Struthio camelus: one gene and its partners. The protein of the gene in region 2 interacts with the protein of the main gene of each other region in a pairwise test. Links are inferred from orthologs where the notes say so. Each region holds a gene or a part of one and is shown on either strand. Other genes may lie near its edges. The genes, in order: AEN, AAMP and BHLHE40.

Evidence for each region.
Region 1: the proteins of AAMP (region 2) and AEN interact in binary tests that used the Homo sapiens proteins (3 or more experiments, as listed by UniProt). The link is inferred for Struthio camelus from reciprocal best matches to the Homo sapiens genes AAMP and AEN.
Region 3: the proteins of AAMP (region 2) and BHLHE40 interact in a two-hybrid assay, tested with the Homo sapiens proteins (2 studies listed by BioGRID and IntAct). The link is inferred for Struthio camelus from reciprocal best matches to the Homo sapiens genes AAMP and BHLHE40.

What each region holds. Positions count from the first base shown.
Region 1 is NC_090953.1:9,579,499-9,586,667, reverse strand, and holds the start of AEN (apoptosis-enhancing nuclease), read right to left. Parts: upstream 3,085-7,169; 5' UTR 2,967-3,084; intron 1,582-2,966; exon of another isoform or gene 1,579-1,581; 5' UTR 1,577-1,578; coding exon 857-1,576; intron 49-856; coding exon 1-48. UniProt on the Homo sapiens protein: Exonuclease with activity against single- and double-stranded DNA and RNA. Mediates p53-induced apoptosis.
Region 2 is NC_090947.1:28,586,199-28,594,082, reverse strand, and holds the start of AAMP (angio-associated migratory cell protein), read right to left. Parts: upstream 3,072-7,884; 5' UTR 2,961-3,071; coding exon 2,873-2,960; intron 2,352-2,872; coding exon 2,199-2,351; intron 1,666-2,198; coding exon 1,546-1,665; intron 1,316-1,545; coding exon 1,176-1,315; intron 701-1,175; coding exon 556-700; intron 351-555; coding exon 267-350; intron 1-266. Other genes in the region: uncharacterized protein, read left to right, coding at 3,281-3,308, 3,749-3,908, 4,209-4,368; TMBIM1 (protein lifeguard 3), read right to left, coding at 6,264-6,407, 6,567-6,620, 6,957-7,052, 7,223-7,310, 7,617-7,654. UniProt on the Homo sapiens protein: Plays a role in angiogenesis and cell migration. In smooth muscle cell migration, may act through the RhoA pathway.
Region 3 is NC_090955.1:2,511,235-2,519,081, reverse strand, and holds the start of BHLHE40 (class E basic helix-loop-helix protein 40), read left to right. Parts: upstream 1-4,791; 5' UTR 4,792-4,874; coding exon 4,875-4,957; intron 4,958-5,055; coding exon 5,056-5,125; intron 5,126-5,382; coding exon 5,383-5,490; intron 5,491-6,068; coding exon 6,069-6,192; intron 6,193-7,257; coding exon 7,258-7,847. UniProt on the Homo sapiens protein: Transcriptional repressor involved in the regulation of the circadian rhythm by negatively regulating the activity of the clock genes and clock-controlled genes.

The DNA of each region.
Region 1 (7,169 bases), on a different chromosome or scaffold from region 2:
GTGGATGGCGTGTCCTACCACAATCTTGTCTTTCAAGATCTTCAGGATCTGGAAGCGTCAGATGGGGTTAGACAAGCGGTGCAGCAAAAGAAACACAGATTACGTATAAAACAAACCATTTTGCATTAAATTTAGTTTCTTCGATTCTAATCTTTTAGGTTCCCAGAACTGAGAGGTAATCAGCTGGTCCCATTACACAGTGTTACTTAAGTCCACAGCAGCACAAGGCAGGCACGTAGTGCACTGGTTAAAGCCTTAAGGCACAGATGCTCAGCTACAGCAAACCAACCTCAGACAAGGCTTAGGGGGCTCCTGGTCCTGTGCTTGTGTCTGTACATCAGAGCAGCTCAGCATGGGTCTCCTCTTAGCCAGTTTGGGGCTGGCAGATAACATGCAATTTTTTTTGTTTTTTAATAAACAAAAGCACGGTATTACTGCTTTTAATTAAACATGAATTTAATGATAACTTTTTTGCAAAGTGACAAGAACCATTTATGACAGGACTTCACTGAATATTTCTAACTCCCTCCCACGGACACAGTCCTGCTGGAGGGGCTGTTGCTGTTTGCCTGCGGTTTGTTTGCAGCAGTTTAAGATTTTTGGCAGGAGAGAGACTCCTGAGAGACTGGAAGTAAACAGAAGCTAAGCAGCACCATTTTTATAAGTAAAAATCCCCGCCATGAGATGGACCAGAAGGAGGTGCTGGTGTGGGCACAGGACTCGCTATGGACTTGTCTGAATCCTGGTAAAAGGGTGTTGGGGCACGGTCATCCCAACAGGGAACGGAGCAAAGCCTAGCTCAGGGCTGCGTGGTCGTACCCCTCCTGCCCCCGGGGCTTACATCTCCCCATTTCACCTCTGCCTGAGCAGCCCTGAAAGGAATTGCATTCTTCATGTGTTGCTTCGTGATCCCACTCCAGCGCGTCCGGTAGTCCACGATGGGGAGCTCGGGCTGGACGTATTTGTCATAGACAACATCCCCCTCGTAGTTCACCACGGTGCACCGTGCCAGCTCGCTCAGCTTCCCCCGAGGGCCGGTGCCCACCATCTCACAGTCGATGGCCACGTACTTCCCTGGGCGCAGGAGCGGCAAGGATGTCCGCAACCCCGTGGAGCTGCCACTGTCATCCTGGGACAGCAGTGCAGAGTGGTGCCTGGCTATGCTGTCCGGAGAGGTGGATGGGGACAGGGAGAGGACCTGCTTGGGCTTCCCGACCTTCCCGCACTGCGGTTCGCTGGCCAGCTGGCTGCATTTGCTGCCCGCCTTGGTGAGCGAGCTGCAGGCGGCCTCCACTGGCCTGGCCGTAGGGACCTGGCCAACTTGCCGCTTGCGGGGTCTCAGCAGCCCCTTCTGCTCCAGCAGCGCCCTGCGCTCCAGGAACCGCTGGTGCTTGCGGCTCTTCTTCTTGCTGCGCCCCTGCGGCGAGCCAGGGCCCTCGGAGGCCATCTGGGGGCAGAGGGGTGCTGGGGGCCGAGGGCTGCCCTCCGCAGCAGGGCCATGAGCAGCCTTCGGGGCTGGTGCAGAAACCTTTGGGGGGCCCAGGAGCGGGGTCATCTGCCCCTTGCCAGGAGACATCCCTGCTGGAACGGGCACGGGGGTTAGCGCCACACAGCCCCACACCAGCACTCCCAGAAGAGAAGGGGGCTGGCACACCCCACCGCAGAGCCCTCCCGGCCCCCAACCGCGGGCAGGAGTGGGCAGCCCTGGTGGGGGACAAGAGGCAGGAAGGGGGGATGCTGCAACCCCTGGGACCCAGGCCCCTGCATGCACCATTACTGGCCCCAGGCCCCCCGCCCACCACACAGCCTGGCCCCCTTGCCTGCTCCATTACTGGGCCCCAAGCCCCTGCCTGCCCCACTGCCTGGCCCCCCGCCCACCCCACTGCCCGGCCCCAGGCCCCCCTGCCCACCCCGCTGCCCGGACCCAGGCCCCCCTGCCCGGCCCCAGGCTCCCCTGCCCGGCCCCAGGCCCCCCCTGCCCACCCTGCTGTCTAGCGCCAGGCCCCCCTGCCCGGCCCCAGGCCCCCGTGCCCAGCCCGCTGCCCGGCCCCAGGCCTCCCTGCCCGGCCCCAGGCTCCCATACCCGGCCCCAGGCCCCCCTGCCCACCCCGCTGTCCAGCCCCAGGCCCCCATACCCAGCCCCAGGCCCCCCTGCCCAGCCCGCTGCCTGGCCCCAGGCCCCCCTGCCCAGCCCCAGACTCCCACACCCGGCCCCAGGCCCCCCTGCCCACCCTGCTGTCTAGCGCCAGGCCCCCATACCCGGCCCCAGGCCCCCCTGCCCACCCTGCTGTCTACCGCCAGGCCCCCACACCCGGCCCCAGGCCCCCCTGCCCACCCTGCTGTCTACCGCCAGGCCCCCATACCCGGCCCCAGGCCCCCCTGCCCACCCTGCTGTCTACCGCCAGGCCCCCATACCCGGCCCCAGGCCCCCCTGCCCAGCCCCAGGCTCCCATACCCGGCCCCAGGCCCCCCCTGCCCACCCCGCTGCCCGGCCCCAGGCCCCCATACCCGGCCCCAGGCCCCCCTGCCCACCCCGCTGCCCGGCCCCAGGCCCCCATACCCGGCCCCAGGCTCCCCTGCCCACCCCGCTGTCCGGCCCCAGGCCCCCCTGCCCAGCCCCAGGCTCCCATACCCGGCCCCAGGCCCCCCTGCCCAGCCCCAGGCTCCCATACCCGGCCCCAGGCCCCCCTACCCAGCCCTAGGGCCCCTTGCCCGCCCCGCTGCCCGGCCGCAGGCCCCCCTGCCCGTCCCACAGCCCGGCCCCAGGCCCCCTGCCCGCCCGATAGCCCAGCTCCAGGCCCCCCTGCCCACCCCTAGGCCCCCTGCCCGCCTCGTTACTAGGCCCCGGCTCTCCGTCCGCCCCATAGCTCAGGACCAGGCCCCCCCCCCCCCCCAGCCCCAGAACCTCCTGCCCGCCCCTTTACAAGCCCCGACCCCCGCCCCCCCACGCACAACCCCTCACCCACCGCTGCCCGGCCCGGCCCGGCCCGGCTCCCACGTGTCTCTGCCGGAAGCCGCCGCGCTCACATGCCCGGGCAAGCCGCGCCGTGGCCCCGCCCCCGATCCCTCCCACTGGCTGCGTGGGGGCTAGATTTGCATAAAGGGGCGGGGCGAGAGCGCCCCTCTGGCTGGGGCGAGGCTGCGGGGGCCCCCGCCTGTAGGGCTGGTCTCTCCCCGCGTGGGTTCGGCTATAGGGCTGGCCTTCCCGCCCCCCCGCACGCGTGGGCCCGCAGGCAGGGGCTCTCCTCCCTAAATGAGCTATAGGGCAGGAGGCACCTGGCTATAGGGCCCTGCCTCTAGGGCCGAGGTGCTCCCAGAAAGGGCCCTCGCTGTAGGGAACTCCTCGTTCGTTCAGGGCGGCTGATGTAAGAAGGAACTAAACCCAGCGCTGGGAAAAGAGCAGGTGCCCGTGGACAGGACACGGCCCTCCCGGTGCCCCGTTGCTCCCGGGGCTGCTCCGGATGCTGGTCTCCTCTTTGCTTCTGCCTACCCGACCTCTGAGCCCGTTCCCGCTGGGATGGGGCCTTTCCAGAGGCACTCGGCTGGGGGCATCTCTGAACCAGTCAGAAACTTTTTTGGTGGTCCCATCCCTTGGTGGCGCAGGGAAGGGGACATTAGCTCTCCTGATCATCCTCCGGCACCGTCCCGCCACCCAAGCGTGCCGGTACCTGTCGCAGCGTCTCCCCTCCCGCCCGTGGGCCCAGGCGAGCGTGTGGTGGCGGCAGCTGCCAGCCGGCTCGGCCCGGTGCCCGGCGCTTCCCGGGCCGCGGCGGACGCAGACGGGGGTTTCAGACCGGCCTCTCGTTGCTTTCCCCTGCCAGGCTCACGAAAGCAACGGCCGAGGTGATCAGAAGCGGAGCCGGGTCGCCCAGCCGCGCCGTGGCCCGGGGGGCCCCCGCGCCGGCCCTGCGCTTCGTGCGGTCGCCGGAGAGGCCGGGCGCCCTAAGGCAGACTGTGACTTGTTGTCGTGAGGCGAGCTATACAACAACAAAATCACTAGTCTTCCACAGGGGGCCGGGCACGACGTGCGTCCTCGTCCCGCCGCGGCGGCCCGCTGGCTCTGAGCGGCCCGGCCTGCCCGCCGCCCCGCTGCCGGGCCTCGCGGCGCTGTGGCCCGACGCAGCTGGACCGCGTCCCGTTTCGGGGCTGCGTGTCGGTGCCCAAGAGCGCTGCGTTGGACGGCCGTGGCGTTCGGGCCCGCCGCTGGCGAGCCTGCGGCCGGAGGGGCCGTTGTCCTGAGCCTGCAGGCGGCTCCTCCGCGGCCCCTGCGCGGGTGCGCTGGATGTGGCCGCCTGGGCTGGCCTAAAGTGGTTTTTTGTGGCAAGAAGTGCGTTTCCCCACGTCTTAGGGAAGCAGTTCAGCTTGTTGCCCCGGGCTAAGCGTGCAGGACCAGTGTTAGCGTGCTCTTTTGTTTCCCTTTTAAACCACCTGTGGGCTTGTTCTGCCTGTTCAGAATTAAAAGAATTAAATCACCCCGTAATTTAATTTTTCCTCGTCCTTTTACATTTTTCTTCCGGCTAGTAAACCTTTTCCTTAAATCTATTGCTCTGCGCTTTGCATATCTCGCTTCCTTCCCTGCTGTTAAGCTAATTTAATTCCCCCTAATGAGAGTCTTTAAAGTGTCCCACAATAACTTGTCAGGAAGCCCTGGCAGGTCTCCTTGTAGAAATTTCTGCTCGTTTTTGTTATTTCTGGTGAAATGGTGCAACGCCGCTCGTGGTGACGGTTCATTTTGGGTTGCTGGGGGTCACTGTGCCCTGCACGCCCCTGTACGCAGGCAGTGAGCTGACTGTTGCAGCATCGCCTCTGCGACCACCTCGAGCTCGGTGCTAGAGAAATGAAGAGCGCCGGCGTGCGACCGCTGGTGTGGGGCCGCAGCGGGAGCCCGCGAGACAGCACCCAGCGTGTGCCAGGGGACTGGCTCTTGAGGGCTTTTCCCTGGTACCGTCATTGCTGTTTTGCTTTCCTAGGGATGATTAACCCCCCCAAAGCATTAAAGTTACGACCATTGCTGCAAAGGGCTGCAGAAGCCTTCCGGACGCTGCGCGTGCTGGCGAGCCGGCTGGAGCTGGGTGCAGCCGGGCACCCTGAGCGCAAGTGCTGAGGTTATTACGAATAAAGCTCCGGTGCTCAGCGCTGTTGCAGAGCAATCGCCATAGAAAGCAACACGGTCTGACCTGTGTTTCACGCTCCGACGCGGATACCGCGCGCTTTTCCCGACTCCACCAGAGGTGCACACAGGAATGGAGGGGGCCGGGCCGGCTGGCACCTGCTCCCCGGCTCAGCGGCCCCCTCTCGCGAAACAAGGCTCTCACCGGGGGCTGGCTTGGCCTGCCTGCCCTGGCACCGCTGCTCGAATCCTCTGCCAGAGACTGAGCTGCAAAGCCAAACCAATTTACAGCTCCCCCATCCCAAGAGCCTGTATATTTAGAATAGCCAATCGATTAGGGCAACCACCAGCAGCTCCCAGCGGAAGCGTGGGCATGAAAAGGGGCCACGTTCGTCTTGTAAATAAGATGTTGTCAGGTACTGGCTCAGCCTGGATTTCAAAGGGGCCAAGCGGATGTGATAGCCCTTCCTCGGGCTGAGATGATGCAAGTGCTCTTTCTTCCCCTCCCTCCCTCCCCCTTCCCTTCGCTCCTGCTCGGAAGCAGCCAGCAGGTTCGTAGCATTTTGTGACCTTTCCATCAAACTGCTCGTCTCCAGCTGCGGCTGGAAAAGTGTAGGTGAGATGCTGAGGCTGCTCCGAGGCTGAGGTGGGAGCTTATCCTTCCTCCTGCCTGCTGAATGCCAGGTGCTGGCCACAGTGCCGGCAGAGCCTGGAGAAACAGCAGCGAGATGCCAAACCTACCTCTGAAACTGCAGTGGGGGGAGCACCGCGGGAGAGACGGCATGTTGCTTCCCATGGTGTCAGCGCAGATGGGGCAGATGTAGCTGGCTGGGTGAGGGGTGAAACTCAGGGGGATCAGCAATACATGCAATTCAGGCAGTGAAGCTCATTCCAGGTTTTCCAGCGAGCAAAGCCCTTCAGATGCTTGTTAACAGAGGATCACTCTGCCTGTGATATTTCTGGTTGGTGTGCAAGAATTACTGATTTCAGTGCAATCCTGGTCCTGTTGAAGGGGATTTCTTGGGCATTGTTCCCTGATTGTCTCTGGGAATGGCGAACCCAAGGTATGCAGGACCTGTTTCCTATAGGAAGCTCTCCTCTGTCAAGTCATCTCTGGAAACCCACTGGGGAATGGTTTAGCAACTAGTTCAAATATCATCTGAACTTCCCTTGAGCTGTTCCAGCGTCGGTGACTTCTCTGCACCTCTACAGCTTCTTTCCCACCAAAACTGGCTCGAGAGTTGTAGGACCACGGCTTTGCATTGCCAGCATGGCAACAACAGGCTTTCCCCAGACCTGGGAGATCCAGGCGGGCAAAGATGTGGTGTCACTGGCTGCTCTTCTTTTTCGCATGCTGTAGCGGGACAGGGAGTGCTCTGAACTGCTCAGAGACCTGATCTCTCTCTGGGAGAAAGCAGGAGCAGGACAAGGTATAACTCAAGGCATCTCCCAGAGCTGCAGCCAGAATCTGGCCCATAGAAACTTCCCTAAGAGGTTGTCTAAAATCTCCTAGCTGAGATCCATCAGCTGTGCTGTGCTTATTGATGAACATGGTTGACAGCTTCTCCTCTGACACAGTGCTGTTGTACTCCTGGGTCTGATTAGTCATTGCTTGTCCACAATAAACCCATCCATCTCGCTTACTCTTTGCTCAGCAATCTTCTTTCCCAGGCATTACGTTTTGCAAAAGGCATGTGATTCTCCTTGACAGTGCAAAGTTCTAGCTGTACCCTCGTGGTTCCAAAGGAATCTTGATAGCGGCAATTAAGAGCTTGGGGGGAGGAGGCAAAAACTTTTTCCAGTTTTACAAGGCTGTGATCGGTCTGACTGCAAGGGAATAGCAGTGTCATTTTTCTCCTGTATCCCAGGTGTAGGGATGGAAGTGAAAAAGTCAAAATTGCTTTAAATGGGTCCATGTGAGTATCGTGGACTCCTCTGGTTCCACTAACCTCTATGCTATAAGCTCAGGATTATCAGTAGATAGTTCTCATATCATCTTTGCTTCAGTGAAAAAGGAAGGAGGCTGTTTCTGCAGGGAAAGTCTGCACAGCAAAGAGTT
Region 2 (7,884 bases):
TGCCCTGAAACCCATGCACATCCTCCTATAGCATTCCCACTGCCCCCACAGCACCCAGCACCCCCGTGGCAGGGACTAGCCACCCAAGGGGAGAGGGGTAATTCAGCAGGGAAACCCAGCCAGCCCACCCAGTCTCAGGCCTCCTCCAGCAGCCCGTGGCCTCATAAGGAGCCACCTCTTCCCAAGGGCAGACATCAGAGCCCACTGGAAGCCCATTCCCCAACTAGAAAGCCCCCCCCCCCCCCGGTGATTAACCCTTTTCCAACCTTTCAGGACATGCAGCGAGGTTCCCTGCTTCAGGTCCCAGATGCGCATGGTCCCATCTTCATATCCAACCACCGCTCTCTTCCCTGGATGAGACAGAACTGGCAGCTAGAGCCAGAGCCTCCCTCACCCCTCCACCTCCTGCTCAGCCCAGACTGGACAGAGCCAGGCACCCTGGGGTGCCCCTAGCTCTGCAGAAAAAGGGTGGCACATGGTTCCAGCAGGATCTGCAAGGGGCCTCATAGCCAGAGCTGGTGACACTCCCCTCCCCAGACAGCCTCTGTGCCTCACCATCAGGCAGGATCTTGCCACACGTGGCCGGGCACGCAGGGCCCTGGAAGGTTTTGCAGTCTCCGCTGGGGATCTTCCACATCCAGGAGTTGCCATCGGCTGTGCCCGCCAGAAGGACATGGGCTTGAGGATGCCACTCCATCCACTGCGCAGAGCGAGGGACATGCAATGTCACAGGGTGGCCTTGGGTTTAGAGGACCCCAGAGAAAGGATCAAACTCCCCCTTGCCCTGCCCTGGGCCAAAGTACAACCATGCATGACCCTAGCCCTGAGCCTGCTCTCATTAGCTCTGTGCTCAGCTTGGGCCTGCCATGAGAGGGTCCTGCTGCGGGCTCGAGCCCTCTTGGTGTTACTGTAAAGGGAAAAGTCTTCAACTTGGAGCTTGAGGGGCCTGAACTAGCCCTGCATGGAGCAGCCAGGAGGGTATTCAGGGACTACATGTTCACGCTGCACTGAGCGGCACCAAAATCTCCAGTGATGACTTTGCTGGATGATGGGTTCAACTGGTAGGACTGGCACGGGCCAGCATCCATCCCTGCCACCCAGCAGAGAGCAGAAGGGAGAGGAATCAGACCTGGGTCCCAGGTGCCAGCCCCATAAGAGCCAGTTCAGCCACTCACCTCCAAGTCCCCCACCTCAAAGGACCACACTTCTTCCTTGGTATCCACTTGCCACACTTTGATGAGCCCGGACATATCGCCTGTGGCCACAAACACAGAGTCGTGACTGAAGCCAGCACAAGTGACTGAGTCCTTGTGTCCTAGAGATGGCAGGAAGTAGAAATTATTTAATTACCAAATGCAGCTATGGAAGATGATCAGGAGCCTGGCTCCACCAGAGCACTGCGTGGGAGGAGAGCAGGTCTGGAGAGACGCTGCTGGGAGGGGACACGCCATAATTTCACCCCTATCATTTTCCCCAGTGCGCATCCTCCTGCAGCGTTCCCGCTGCCCCCCTGGTGCAGAGGATGACCTGGCCAAAGCACCTCACCTGAGCATTCAAACAGGAGCTCTCCATCACTCAGGCGCCACACGAAGGCCTTGTCATCCTCCCCACCTGTCACCGCCAGTGTGTTGGTCTTGGGGTCAAGGCTCACACAGAAAACAGAAGCTGCACAAAAGAGCAGAAAGTGACTACACAGCTCAGACACTCCTCATGCCCCATCAGACATTGCCAAGGGCTCCAAACCACACAGTATCAGGACTAGGTGAGATGCCACCCAGCTGGACTAAAAACCCAAACCACTGGGGATCAGTTCTTCCCACTGGGTAGCGATTTGGGCCCTGCCAGAGCAGTACAGGCTGTCTGCCAAGCTCATTGCTAGCTGTCAAGGCCATGCTAGGAAGCCCTGAGGTCTGAAAGTACCTAGAGCAGAAGCTCCGCTCCTGATAAGGAGCATCCCCAAGGCTTCCACAGGAAGCTTCTCTACAGCAGTGTAGGGAAGAAACGAGCAAAGCTGAAAGCACCCAACTCTGAATTTTGATAAACGGCCCAGAAACAGCAGGGAGACAGCACACTAGCAAGGCCCTACCTGTGTTCCCTTCCACTGTGGAGAACAGGGATTGAAGCAGGTCCCAGAAGGCAGCACCCCCCCGGCAACCACCCCAGCAGAGCCCCGCTGTCCACTCAGGCTCACCACTCACCTGAGTGCAGGGAGAACGTGACCTCGCTGTCGTCCTGCGCCTCCATGCTGTCCTCCACCCCCTCATCATCCTCTTCTGTCTCCCAAGCCTCGGCATCAGGCTCATCTGCCCCCTCATCAAAGTCCACGTCCTCCATCTCGTCGGCCAGGTCATCTACAGAGAGCTAACGTCAGCGCCTGGTTGGCAGCCTGCCCCAGAGCCAGACCAGCTCAGCCTAAACAGGGCAACCAGCAGTGGGCAAGGACAGGGCCCCCGGGGAGTCCTGGTGGGAGCCAGGGCCAGCTCTGAGGGACGAAGGGGCTCGATCCAGCTAAGAGGACCGGTTTTGTGGGCGCAGGGGGCTTCGGGCAGAGGCAGCAGCCGTTCACCGCTCCCCGGGGGCAGCCGAGCCGTGGGGAAGGGCAGCGGGGGGGGTCTGCTCAGTCCTGGGGCTCCGGGGACAGCGGGCACCGGAGGGCAGCACGCTCCGTGCAACCCCCTGCACTGCCACCGGCTCGTCCAGCCGCCGCCGGCCCCAGCCCCGGGCCGGCTGCAACCCGAGGGGGAGGCCCTGCGGCCAGGCCCGTACAACCCCGCCCCGAGGGCCGAGCCCGGGCCCGGTGCCCCCAGGGGGAGGCCGGGTGCCCCCCGCAGGGCTCGTCCCCGTGCCCCGGCCCGGGGGCGCCTCGTCTCACCCGGCCCGGGCGGGCCCAGCTCCACCACCTCGATGATCTCCTCGTCGCCGTGGAAGCCCAGCGCGCCCGGCTCCTCCGCGGGCTCCATGCCGGCCTGCCCGCGCACCCGACCCTGCTGCCTCCGCTTCCGCCGCTCGCCCCGCCCCGGCCAATCCCTTCCCACCGGGAAACTCCCTCTAGCCAGTCCTCGCCCGCTTCCTCACTCAAGCCCCACCCCTCCCCCGTCAGTCCGCCAGCAGGGTAGGCTGACGCCGTCCCGCGCGGGGTGCTGTGGGAGTTGTAGTTCTTCGCGCCCTGCCCAGGCAGTGCCTCCTCCCGGCGGCCCCCGCGCGGCAGACTACAACTCCCGGCACTCAGCGTCACACCTGGAGCGCGGGGCACGACGGGAAACGGGCAGGGGCGGGTACGATGGCGGCGGTACTCGGCGGACTGCGGGGTAACGCGAGGCCGGGGTGGGGGGGGGGCGGCCCCGGGGTGGGAGCGACCCTGTCCCTCGAGACCCTCGACACATAGCCCCGCCCTCGCAGCCCCCAGGCCCTTAGCCACGCCCCCATCGCCCTAGGCAACCCCTTCCCGTCCCGCCCCTCCGGAGCTTGGCCCCGCCCCGCCGTGATGTGACGCCCCTCCGAAAGCCCCGCTTCCTCGGGGGGTCGGCAACGCCCCCCCGAGGCATTGACCACGCCCCCTCGGGTTTTCCCGCCCCACACCCTCTGAGACCACGCCCCTCCCGGCCATGGCCACGCCCCCAGGCGCGCCCCCCCCGAGGAGGGGGCAGGGTGGGGGTGCGGGCGCCCCCCCCCGGGTGGGGTTAGGCCCGGGGGTCCCGGACCCAGGGGGGCTCCGAGGCAGCCGCTGACCCCCCCTCTCTGCTACCAGGGCTGGCGGCCCCGGCGGGGGCCCGGCTCCTCCGGCGGGGCTGCCAGCCGGCGGCAGAGTCACGGGCCGGCTCGGCGGGCGGCGGGCAGCTCCCCGAGGGGGTGGAGTACATCCCCACGCGCAAGGGCAAGAACCCCATGAAGATGGTCGGGGTGGCCTGGTGAGTGGCGGCGCTTTTTGCTGGGAGGGTAGCGTGGCCCTGGGACGGGTGCTGGGGGGGGGGGTCACTGTCTGCGGAGGGTCCCACGGCTGCCCCGGTCTGGTGCTCGTGATCCGGGGACCCCAGAGGCCCCTTTGCAGCACGCTGTTGTGTGGGGCCGTGGGGCCCGGGGGGGGGGTCCCTGGGGAGCCCAGGGCTGCAGCACTAAGTGCGGTGGGTGTCTGTCCCATCCCAGGGTGGCACAGGCCCCTTGTTGCCCTGCTGACCCTCTCCATCTCCTGCCTGCTGGCTGTCCTGCAGGGCCATCGGGTTACCCTCTGGCATCGTGCTTTTCCTCCTGGCCAAGCAGCAAGTGGACAAAAACCGCCTGGAGCAGCTCAAGATCCGCCGGAAGATGATGGGATCCAACGAGGGCAAGTACGAAACAGAGCGATACAAGAGGGCAGTCAGGGGGGCATAGCCAGGCCGCCCCCTCAGAGCCGGACACCACGGCAGGGACAGGCCGTGCCCCTGAAGGGACTGTCCAGGGACATGCCTACCTTGCTGGCACAGGGCACTGGGGCCTGCTCTCCCCTCTCCAGTACGTGTGGCAGTCGGGGAGGGCTGGATGGGGGTAAATAAACCTCTCCCCTCGGGTATGGGGAGTGAAAGAGCCCTGTACCACTGTCATCACTCCCTCTGTGCTCAGCCCCAGGCTCTGCCTGCTCCTCCTTCCTCTCCCACGGGAGTATTTCCCAGCTGCGCTGACTTGCCTGTCACGGGCACCCTTTGCAGAGTGTGCTGTGCGCAGCCAGGGGCCCAGCCCTGCCTGCGGGGGTGGGAGGGAAAGGCAGCTGGGAGGCCACCGCTTGGAACAGCTCAGCCTTGACTTTATCTCTACAAGGCAAGGTTTGTGTTGCTGTGAGCTGCTGCCCCTGCTGACGTGGCTCAGAGCTTTCTGAGGGAGTTGCTGCTTGCTCACCCTCCTCCTGGTGCCCGCTCAGCCCCATCCGATAACCCGCAGCCCTGCTGGGAGAGCTGAGCCTTTTGGCCAAGGTGTTCTGCGAACTCCAGCTCCTCCCAATCTTGGGGAGATCTGGGAGCTCAATATGGTGGGTAGGCGTTGGCATCCTGGATGGGCTCACCCCACAAAGCAGACTCAGCTGTTTGGAAAATTAAAGTGTTTTATTTAGCAAGTGCAACTTTGGCCACATCCGAGGGCCAGGCAGGCTGCTCCCACGGCTGCGAGTCCTTTGTAACACAAGCTTTGTACAGATGTCCCCAATCCCACTGCAGGGGTCCTGGCTGCCTCGGCCCAGAGCAAGCACTGCCAGAGCTTGTGGCAGGCATGGCTAGGCAGGGGGGCTGGGCAAGCCATGGGGCAGCCACAGAGCAGCTACATTTAAGGCACTGAGTGAATGAAGCTGGATCAGACCAGAGCATCTCTGCAAAAAGCCAGGGCCTGACATGTTCCTTGGGAGCCTGGGGCGAGACAGCAGCTCGGCCCTGCCCGCCAGTGCTGCCAGCCCCTCCAGTGGCTGCATGGGAGGTGCCACATCAGGCAGACACATCTGGCCTCAGCTCCGAGGCAGCAACCGCCGCACAACTGCCCTTGTGCAAGCACAAGGCTGTTTAATGCATGGCAGCGTAACAGCAGCACTGCCAACGCACCAGTGCGTCCTCAGGGAATGGGCGCTGAGGCTGGGTCCTGGCTGAATGCTGCTGGCTGGTTCCCCCACTACCTCCCAGGCTCCAGAGACTGGGAGGGGTCAAGGGGAGCCCCTTCCTTAGCAGCCTACAGGTAGGGGTGCTGAAGCATTAGGAGTAATCTCGGACCAGGCTGAGAGCCGGTAACTGGCCGTATAGTGCATACAGGCACTGGTTTTGCTGCTTATTTACAAGCTTAGGAAACACCGCCCCGCCGGGAAGCCTCGCCCTCATGCCAGGCCCCTGACCTCTGCCTTTCCTTCCGACTGTGCACCAGGCGCGTGCCGAGTGAACCCGCGGATCGGGGGGTGGTGGCAGCCCTGCCCAGGCACCGAGGACCCCCCCTGTGCCTGAGCTGTGCCCCCGACTCCGGCTGTGACCGTGGGGGCTCCGGCACTGAGCACAGCCCCTTGTCCTGGGGGCCAGCTGGGCACCCTGGTCCAGGGACAGACACCTTGCGGGGCACAGAGCTGGCCTGCAGCAGCGGGAGGGCTACAGGGCCTAGCAGAGGGGCCAGCAGGAGCCCAGTGACACCGACCCACCTCGGGCACGTGCTGCTCTGCCAGGCTCCTGGGGCAAGGACAAGATGGGAGAGGAGCAGCTTTGTGGAGGAGAGGGAGAGAAGCAGAGGTCGGCAAGGAGAAGAGGGGGCCCGGTGCAGGGCAGGGGCTAGTCCCGGCCCACAAGCTGCAGTATGGAGGTGAAGATATACACAATGTCGGTGTAGATGGTCAGGGCACCGTAGACGTACTCCTCGGGGCTCAGCGTGTTCTTCCTGTTCCCCAGCACCAGCTGGGTGTCGTAGGCTAGGAACTGGGAAGAGCACAGCGAGAGTCAGGCAGAGATATTGGTGATCTCCTGGGGGTATCTGCCCCCCCCACCTCCGAATGACTACTTTGGGAGCACAGCCCCCTGCTACACCCCGCAGAGGGACCCAGCCCAGGAGGGAAAGCGCCTGAGCTGTCAACTCACCAGGGTGAAGGCGATGGCTCCGATGGCCGCATACAGCATGTGGAGCCAGGGGACCTGCAGGCGGGGAGACGATGACCCGTGAGCAGGTGACCGCAAGGCACAGCCCTGCCCCAGCCCCTGGGCTGGCACGTGGGACTCTGCCTGCACCCAGTTTCCCCGGAGATACCGCAAGCCGCACCCTCTCTCTGCGGGAAAGCTGCCTCTGCGCTGACACCACACGCTGCTTCCTGGCACCAGCCCAGGTCAAGGGGATCCACCCACCACCCGCTCCCAATCCCACCTCTGCCATCCCCGGGGCCAAGCTGCCACTGGGTTACAGCTAGGGGGACCCAGCTGCTTGCCCAGACAGGCAAGGGTGACTCGTGGCGCTCTGCAGCCCCCTCTACTCACGTATTTGAAAGAGAGGACGATGGCCGTGACGATCCCGGTGACCATCACCACGATGCCCAGCACGCAGAAGAGCCCAGGACACGATGTAAAATCAACCTGCCAGGAGGGTGGACGTGTCATGGGAAAGCTCAGGGCCATGCTGAGCTCACCGGGGCCACAGGGCAGCCTGCAGGGACAGCAGTGTCCCCAGCAACCCCGCACCGAGCATCCAACCCCGGCCGTACCCTACATCGGGGAGGCCTTCACAGCCTGCCTCTGCACCTCACCTTGGTCTGGAAGCAGAAGACGGTGACAATGATGGCCACGATGGCAGTGATGAGCATAGCAATGAGGACGGCGTTGGTCCTGTACATGCTGTGGACAGAGAGGACACCAGCGTCACCCCATGCTTCGGGGGAGCCAGGAAAAGGGTCCCCCTGCCCAGAGGGTATTTACACTCCCCAAGGCCGTCCCCATGGCCCCGTGGCTGTGATCTTGCAGAGGGACCGCACGGACCCTGCGTCCAGGGGCTTCACTGCCCCTCGTTTGAGCCGGCCTGACAGCAGGATGGGTTGGACTCTGGGCGTTGAAGGCAAAGGCCGGCCCCAATCTCTGCATCTCTGCTCGGGGTCTGTGCCCACAGCCCCTGCCCTGAAGGGCCCCAGGATCCCCGGTGAGTACCTGGCGATCGTCCCCGTCATGAACCCCATGGCCAGCGTCTGCAGGAGAGAGGAGAAGGGTTCATTCAGCAATGCAACCAGCAGCCCTGGGGGCAGATTTACCCTCTGGGGATGCGGGTCTGTTCTGCCCCTTCGACGGGCACTGCCGTCCGTCCGTGGGGCAGTTCCTTGCTGCCCCCGCTCCTTCCCCACGTAACCTCCCTCCTTCACTGCGCATGCCAGCAGTGCAGGGGCTGCCCCCCTCCTCCCCGGGGGCTAAGGGCATCCCA
Region 3 (7,847 bases), on a different chromosome or scaffold from region 2:
TGGTGAGCGCGGGTTCTCATGGGCTTGCCTTTACCAATAAGGCTGAGAAATGATATGCCTAGGGCCTTCAGTAAGCTGCTGATCTTGAGCGCTCCTGAAACCTGGCTCAAAAATTGCTACGCTGAGCAAGAAGTCTAACGACCGCCCAGCCCAGGCCCCGGTAAAACGGCGAGCGTTTGGTGAAGGATGCAATATTGCCTGGCTTCAGCGCTCCTCCCACGGGCTGGAGATCTGCCCGTCTTGGGAAAGACCTGCCACATCTGCTGAGTAAAGGTTGGTAGAAGGCTATACCTAGCTGCTCCACGCGGCTGCCTTACAGACTGCTTGGCTCCCCCGTGAACTTCTACTTCTGCAGAAAGTAATGGGTGTTAACTAGAAAGCCCTTGGAGGACGCCCGTCAGATGCGGAGGGCTAACCACTTCCATGCAGCTCCTCCTGCTCGGCATAACCTTAGCTTCCAACCTTGGCTTGTGGTCCAAGACATGGCTGTTCTTTAACCTCCGGTGCCAGTAACCTGACACGAGATTGCTGGAAATGAGAGAGAAGGAGAGTCAGCTATTTGATTACAGGCCACAGGCACATGCCTGGCCTTCATGGATATATTAAGTAAGAGACATTTTAAAACAAAACCACCCTCAGTAACCTTATCGTAAGCTTGAATCCACAACCCATCTGTTAACTCCCAGCGCTGCCCACATAGGCTCCGATCAGACATCAGCGCCAGTGATTTTCAGAACGTTTCACCCCAAATTGCCACCCTCGTGGCTGGAAGGGGACAAGCCCTCAGGAAGAAACACGTCCAGGGACTCAATCCCTTTCGCCAGCCTTCAGCACACCTTCAAAAACAAACTGCAAACCCTTGCCTTTTAACGTATCTGTAAATAACTACAAATCCCTGTTGGACGCAAGCTGCTGCTATCCTGTGACACTCGGCCGTTCTGAAACGAGCGCTCGAAAGGCCAGTTTCTCCCTTAATGGCTTTAGAAAATTAAGCCTTTTTAAACGTTTTGCTGTTGCCTCAATCATACGTTGTAAAAGAACCTTCCACGCAGAAATAAATCAGCAACAACAACAACAAAAAAAAAATCGAGATGGCAAACTGATGATTGCATCAGCCTTAGCTTATGAAAACTGATCCTCAGGAAAATGTAATTCAACTCTCCAGCAATCTAACTTGATGCCCAAGAATGTAATAACTTCATTTGGATCCTCTTTTTAGGGGGACTCCTAAATCCTTGGCAACTTCCCTTAAGGTCATGAGTAAATCCTGATATGGAGAATTGTTTGGCAAGCACGAGAACAGTAAAAGGGCTAAATAATTGGGGATTACCTCTGACCCTGATTTGTAGCTCACCACCCACTGCAGGAATGTACCGAATATCTGAAAGAGCATGCAAGAGTCAAACAATTCATGGGCATGAAATTGTCCACGTACACTCTGAGTTTAAACTTAAAATGCAGAGCAGGTTGGCCCCAAACCTCATTTTTCATTAGCAATCAGCTGCAGCAAGCTCTAATTATGTCTGTTGCCTTAGACAGAGGGTCAGTGATGGCACAGACTGAAAAGCGTATGTGATTCTCCCCCTTTGTTTGGCAGATCACACCTGAGATCTTCAGAGCAAAAAGAGAGTTAACCATCTGATTCACTCCCCGTTATTTATGCCGGTTCTGTTCGCTTTCACCTCATCTGCAAGGACAAAGACATCGCTTTCATTTTTGTGGCGATGATTACCAAATTTATTAAGCACCCGCATGAACGACAATCTCTGCTTTGAGAAGTTTACAGGCCGGAGGTCTGATCCTACCCCTGTGTACGCGCGATGCTTAATTGTCAACACCTACGTCCTCTCCGATGAGCTGGAATCGTCTCGCTCGTGGGCAGGGTCTGCAGCATCACGGCAGACCCTCAAAGCGCCTGAGCTGGCCCTGCTGATAAATGTCACGTTTGCAGACCTGGGCCGCAAAATACAGAGAAGACCATACTGACTGGGACAGGCCTATTGCCCGGCACAACCTAAGCATCTTTTTTTTCGGAAGCTCTGGGTCGTTAATGCAGTGGTGTATCGTTTGTGCTGGAGATGCACTTGGCTCTTGTAAGGAATTGTTTGGCTTTTTGTTTTTTTTTACAGAGCTTATAGTCAAGGCTAGCAGATTGCTGCAGGGCTCTGATTTCTCCTAGGATTTCTCCTGGTAATAACACGCATCCTCAAACGACGGTGTGCCTTAAAGCGGGTGCCCCCGTCTCTCGCGTAAGACCTCTTTAGGCCCCAACGTGATCCCTGCGGCCCGCAGGTTCCTCCCTGCAGGGAGCGTGCAGAACCCCCCGGGGAGGCAGCGACGGCTCTGCCCTCCGCTCCCGTTGCCTTCTCTAGGTAAATGCGCCTTTTATCGGGTGAACTTGCCTCTACTTGTTCCGCACGCAGCAGGGTAAATGACCAGCACCCTTCCGGAGGAAAGGCACGCTCCGGCGGGCACGCACCGCCGCAGTCCTACGCGGCGTCTGCCAGCAGCTGGCATCCAAGGATCCCGGCTGCTCCGCCGGAGACTGAAACCTCCGAAGCGTCTGAGACGGGCAAGAAATAGCACCTCCCTCTAACCGTTCCCTAGCAGGCCTGGACTCCCAGTCGCTTCGCCCTGGGTTTCCCTAGTTCAGAGGCTGCGTTTAATATGGGTATCAGCTTATGTGTTTCTTTGTTGTTGTTGTTGTTTTTCCTTAATCTGTATACGGATATTGGTATGAAAGAGCAGCCTTTAACACCGCAGCTGTGCCGATAAAACGTTCACCTGCACACCCTGCGCCCAAGGCACAGGCGCAAGGTGGAGGCCGCGCTCCTGTAGCGCGGAGGGATAACGAGCAGGGCAGCACGCAGAGATCGCATGCGGTGCGGCACGCAGGGATAGTGCCCAGGGCGGTGTGCAGGGCAGCGTGCAGGGGCAGCGTGCAGGGGCAGCGTGCAGGGACAGTGTGCAGGGCGACGTGCAGGGACAGCGTGCAGGGACAGCGTGCAGGGCAGCGTGCAGGGACAGTGTGCAGGGACAGCGTGCAGGGCGGTGTGCAGGGGCAGCGTGCAGGGACAGTGTGCAGGGCAGCGTGCAGGGGCAGCGTGCAGGGCAGCACGCAGGGACAGCGTGCAGGGACAGCGTGCAGGGGCAGCGTGCAGGGACAGCGTGCAGGGGCAGCGTGCAGGGCAGCGTGCAGGGCAGCGTGCAGGGCAGCACGCAGGGACAGCGTGCAGGGACAGCGTGCAGGGCAGCGTGCAGGGCAGCACGCAGGGACAGCGTGCAGGGACAGCGTGCAGGGGCAGCGCACAGGGACAGCGTGCAGGGCAGCGTGCAGGGACAGTGTGCAGGGACAGCGTGCAGGGCAGCGTGCAGGGACAACGTGCAGGGCAGCGTGCAGGGACAGTGTGCAGGGACAGCGTGCAGGGCAGCGTGCAGGGGCAGCGTGCAGGGCAGCGCGCAGGGCAGCGTGCAGGGACAGTGTGCAGGGACAGCGTGCAGGGCAGCGCGCAGGGCGACGTGCAGGGACAGTGTGAAGGGCAGCGTGCAGGGCGACGTGCAGGGACAGCGTGCAGGGCAGCGTGCAGGGACAGTGTGCAGGGACAGCGTGCAGGGCAGCATGCAGGGCAGCACGCAGGGCGACGTGCAGGGACAGCGTGCAGGGACAGCGTGCAGGGACAGCGTGCAGGGACAGCGCGCAGGGGCAGCGTGCAGGGACAGCGTGCAGGGACAGCGCGCAGGGACAGCGTGCAGGGACAGCGTGCAGGGCAGCGCGCAGGGACAGCGTGCAGGGCAGCGTGCAGGGCAGCGTGCAGGGACAGCGTGCAGGGCGACATGCAGGGCGGCATGCAGGGACAGTGCAGGGGCAGCGTGCAGGGCAGCGTGCAGGGCGACGTGCAGGGACAGTGTGAAGGGACAGCGTGCAGGGCAGTGTGCAGGGACAGCGCGCAGGGACAGCGTGCAGGGCAGCGCGCAGGGTGACGTGCAGGGACAGTGTGCAGGGACAGCGTGCAGGGCAGCGTGCAGGGCAGGGCAGCGCACAGGCATAGTGCGTGGTGTGCTGTGCAGGGCAGCGTGCAGGGATCACATGTGCTGTGGAGTGCAGGGACAGTGCCCAAGGCAGCATGCAAGGACAGCGTGCGGGGCAGCATGCGGGGACAGTGAGCAGTGCAGGGTGCAGGGCAGCGTGCAGAGATCACATGTGGTGCGGCGTGCAGGCGTAGTGCCCAGGGCAGCAGGCAGGGACAGTGTATGGTGTGCTGTGCAAGGAGAGTGCCCAGGGCAGCGTGCAGGGACAGCGTGCAGGGCAGCACGCAGGGATCACATGTGGTGCGGCGTGCAGGGACAGTGCCCAGGGTGGCGTGCAGGGGCAGGGTCCAGGGCAGCGCGCAGGGACAGCGCGCAGCGCAGGCTGCAGGGACAACGCGCGGGCTGCAGCGCGGGCTGCAGGGAGAGGGCGCAGGCTGCAGCGCGGGGCCGCCCGTGCGCAGCTCGGAGGCCGGCGGAGCGGGGCCGCCCCCGGGCACGGCGGGCGGCGGCTGCGCTCCCCAGCGCGGCGCGTTCCCACGCGGCGCCGCCGTCACGTTGCGCGGGGCGGCGCGGAGCGGAGAAAGGGGGGGGGGGGGAGACGAGCCGCCACGTGAGACTCATGTGACCGGAGGGAGGGAGGGAAGGAAAGGGGGGGGGGGGGAGAGAGGCGGCCCCGCCGCCGCCACCGCCGCCGCCCGCAGCGCCCGGGCCGCGCCCGCCGCCGCCCGCCCGCACTTAACCCAGCCCGCCGCGCCCCGCCGCGCTCAGCCGCGCGCAGCCCGCGCGCCATGAGCCGCCGCCGCGCCGCCGCCTGAGCGCGCAGCCCCGCGCAGCCCCGCGCAGCCATGGAGCGGCTGCCCGGCGCCCCGCCGCCGCCGCCGCTGTGCCTGGGCAAGCTGCCCGCCCTGGAGGGCACCGACGGGCCGGGGTGAGCGCCGGGGGGGCTGCGCCGCGCTGCGCGGGGGGCTGCGCCGCGCTGCGCCCTGCGCCGCTCTAACCCGCCCGCTTTTCCCTCCGCTCGTGCAGGCTGGACTTCGCCCACATGTACCAAGTGTACAAGCCGCGGAGGGGGCTGAAGAGGAGCGACGACAGTAAGGTGAAGGGGGGGGGGACCCCGACCGGGGTTTGGGGGGGCGCAGCTCGTCCTTTCCCGATTTTCGGCAGCGGTTTGCCCGAAAACTTTCTGCGCGCCCCGGGGGCGCTGCCTGCCCCGCGCCCTTGCGCCCCGCTTGTAGCCACCCTGCCGCACCCCCCCCCCACCCCCCAAAAATGCTGCCGAAGCCCCCTGGCCTGGCGGCGGGGTCTCTCGGCGGCGCGCTGCCCCCGCCCCAGCCCCCTCTGCCTCCCCCCCAGGAGACCTACAAGCTGCCGCACAGGCTCATCGAGAAGAAGAGGCGCGACCGCATCAACGAGTGCATCGCCCAGCTGAAGGACCTCCTGCCCGAGCATCTCAAACTCACCGTAAGTGGGGGGGGGGGGGCGCCCCGCCGCCCCGTCCCCCCGCCAGGGCTCTGCCACCACCGCCCTCCCAGGGGTCCCCCAGGCCTTGGCGCTCTCTCTGAGCGGGTTTTCCCTTGCCACCCCACGGAAAGGCTGGGGGGGGGTTCACCCGCCTCCGCGACCCCGGGCGCCGCTGGCTTTGTTGGCGGTCCCGGAGGAGAGCCGGGCTCCCCTCGGCTCTCGGGCCCGCTCCGGGCTGCCTTCCCCTGCGCTAAGGTCACGATACCAGCAGGGGCAGCAGAACAGATCAATAAAATACTTCTCTGTGAGCTATGCGGTCGGTCCGAAAATAACCGTGAGACACGACGGTAGCCTTTTCTGCGGCCTGCTTTCGAGTTCGTTTATTTGCAGGTTCGAGAAAGATAGGTTTTCGGGCGAAGCAGGGCCCCCCCCTCCCCGCCCCGGGCGACGGCGCTGCCCCGCCAGCCTTGCCTCCCGGCGCCGTCCGCCCCTGCCCGTCGCTCTGAAAACGCTGGAAGCCCTTTTGGGCTCCCCGCGGTCGGAGGCGGCCGGCGCCGACCCGTCCCTTTGGCTTGCAGACTCTGGGGCACCTGGAGAAGGCGGTGGTTCTGGAGCTTACCTTGAAGCACGTGAAGGCGCTGACCAACCTCATTGAGCAGCAGCAGCAGAAGATAATTGCCCTGCAGAACGGCTTACAAGCCGGTGAGTGTTCAAAGCCCAGCGAGCGAGAACCTGCCTGCGCGCCCTGGACTCTCTTTCCCAGCCCGCGCCGTGCCCTGGTGGCACTTGGTCCCAGGGCAGGGAGGAGGAGGAAGGAGTTCTTTCTTTTAATCGCCTTCCTCTTCCCTCACTCTGCTCATGAGTCCTCAGGAGAAAGACGCTTTTCGTTTCTTAGTTCGGTCAGTTCAGAGCGCGCTGAGAGTTTTGTTTTAAAATTCATTTGAACGTTACTAGTTTTATTTAAAGCTCGGTTTTGCTTAAGGTTCTCTCCGAAGGCATCCGAGCCTTTCTATTGGTGTTTAGGAGCTTTGGACCAAATCCGTTTTTTTTTTTCCCTCCTCAAAAATATGAAAGCATCTGCCTTTTTTTGCACACACCTTTTTTTTTTTTTTTTAGGCTTCTTTCTAAACTGATCAGCCCGTGTTGCTGTCGGCTAAGAGGGGGCCAGGTCTAGCGGCTTATTGTGCTTTAAATGTACTTCCTTCTCCTGTTTTCACACGTGGCACTCACGTGAATCTGATAAAGTAAAATTTAGCTGTTCTAAAGAGATTTCCACTGCTTTAATAGCCACGGGGTGTGCGATCGAGCTTTAAGCCAAGGTCCTATAGCTGAAGCAAAACGGCCCTCGGTTCCTGGAGCTGAAGGAGGGTGAGCTTGCTGCAAGCGCTCCCTTCCTGGTGGGAAGGAAGCGGGTTGCAAACTGGCTTTCAAACCGCTTCTTCCCTGCGGAGGTACCAGGTTGATTCACTGCTGTTTCTCCATACCTGCACCCGTGTTACAGTTGCCACGTACAGGAGACCTAGAAATAAAAAACAAATTTGAAATTCACATCCAAAAGTGGACGGGTGGATGTAAGAAGAAACAACGTATGCCTGTACAGAAATCAGGGGAGCGCGTGTAAAACACGGTTTGACCCTCAGGTTCGCCTGTTCAGCTGTTTTGTAGCAGCGGAGGTGAAGCCCTTCTCTCCAGGGTGCCTCGAAGATGGGAATGGACCTATTTAGCACGTTGTTAATTTTTAATTTCTTTCTGCTAACGTTTCCTCAGGTGACCTGTCATCAAGAAACCTCGATTCCAGCCAGGAAATGTTTCGATCCGGTTTCCAGATGTGCGCCAAGGAGATGCTGCAATACCTGGCAAAGCACGAGAACGGCAAGGACCTGAAGTCTTCTCAGCTGGTCGGCCATCTGCACCGAATGGCCTCCGAGGTGCTCCAGGGCGGAGCCGGCCGAAAAGCCGCAGACATCCCTCCGAAAACAGTGGACTCGAAGGAGAAGTCTGGCTCCTTGACCAGAGCGGCCGAGGGACATGGCAAAAACTGCGTGCCGGTGATACAGAGGACATTCGCTCCTTCCAGCGGCGAGCAGAGCGGCAGCGACACCGACACAGACAGCGGCTATGGGGGAGAGCTGGAGAAAAGTGACTCCAAATCCGAGCAGCAGTATTTTAAAAAGGATACGGAACTCAAATATACTGTCCAGGAGAGAATAAGCTCTATTAAGCAAGAGACTGAGGACCCACCAGCCAAAAGGACCAGGATGGAAACTTCCGAAGACGAAGGCCCTTTTAGCAGTGACGTGATGGGCTCTGCAAGTAGCTTTCTGGGCCCTCACGCGCACCAGCCTCCTTTGTGCCTG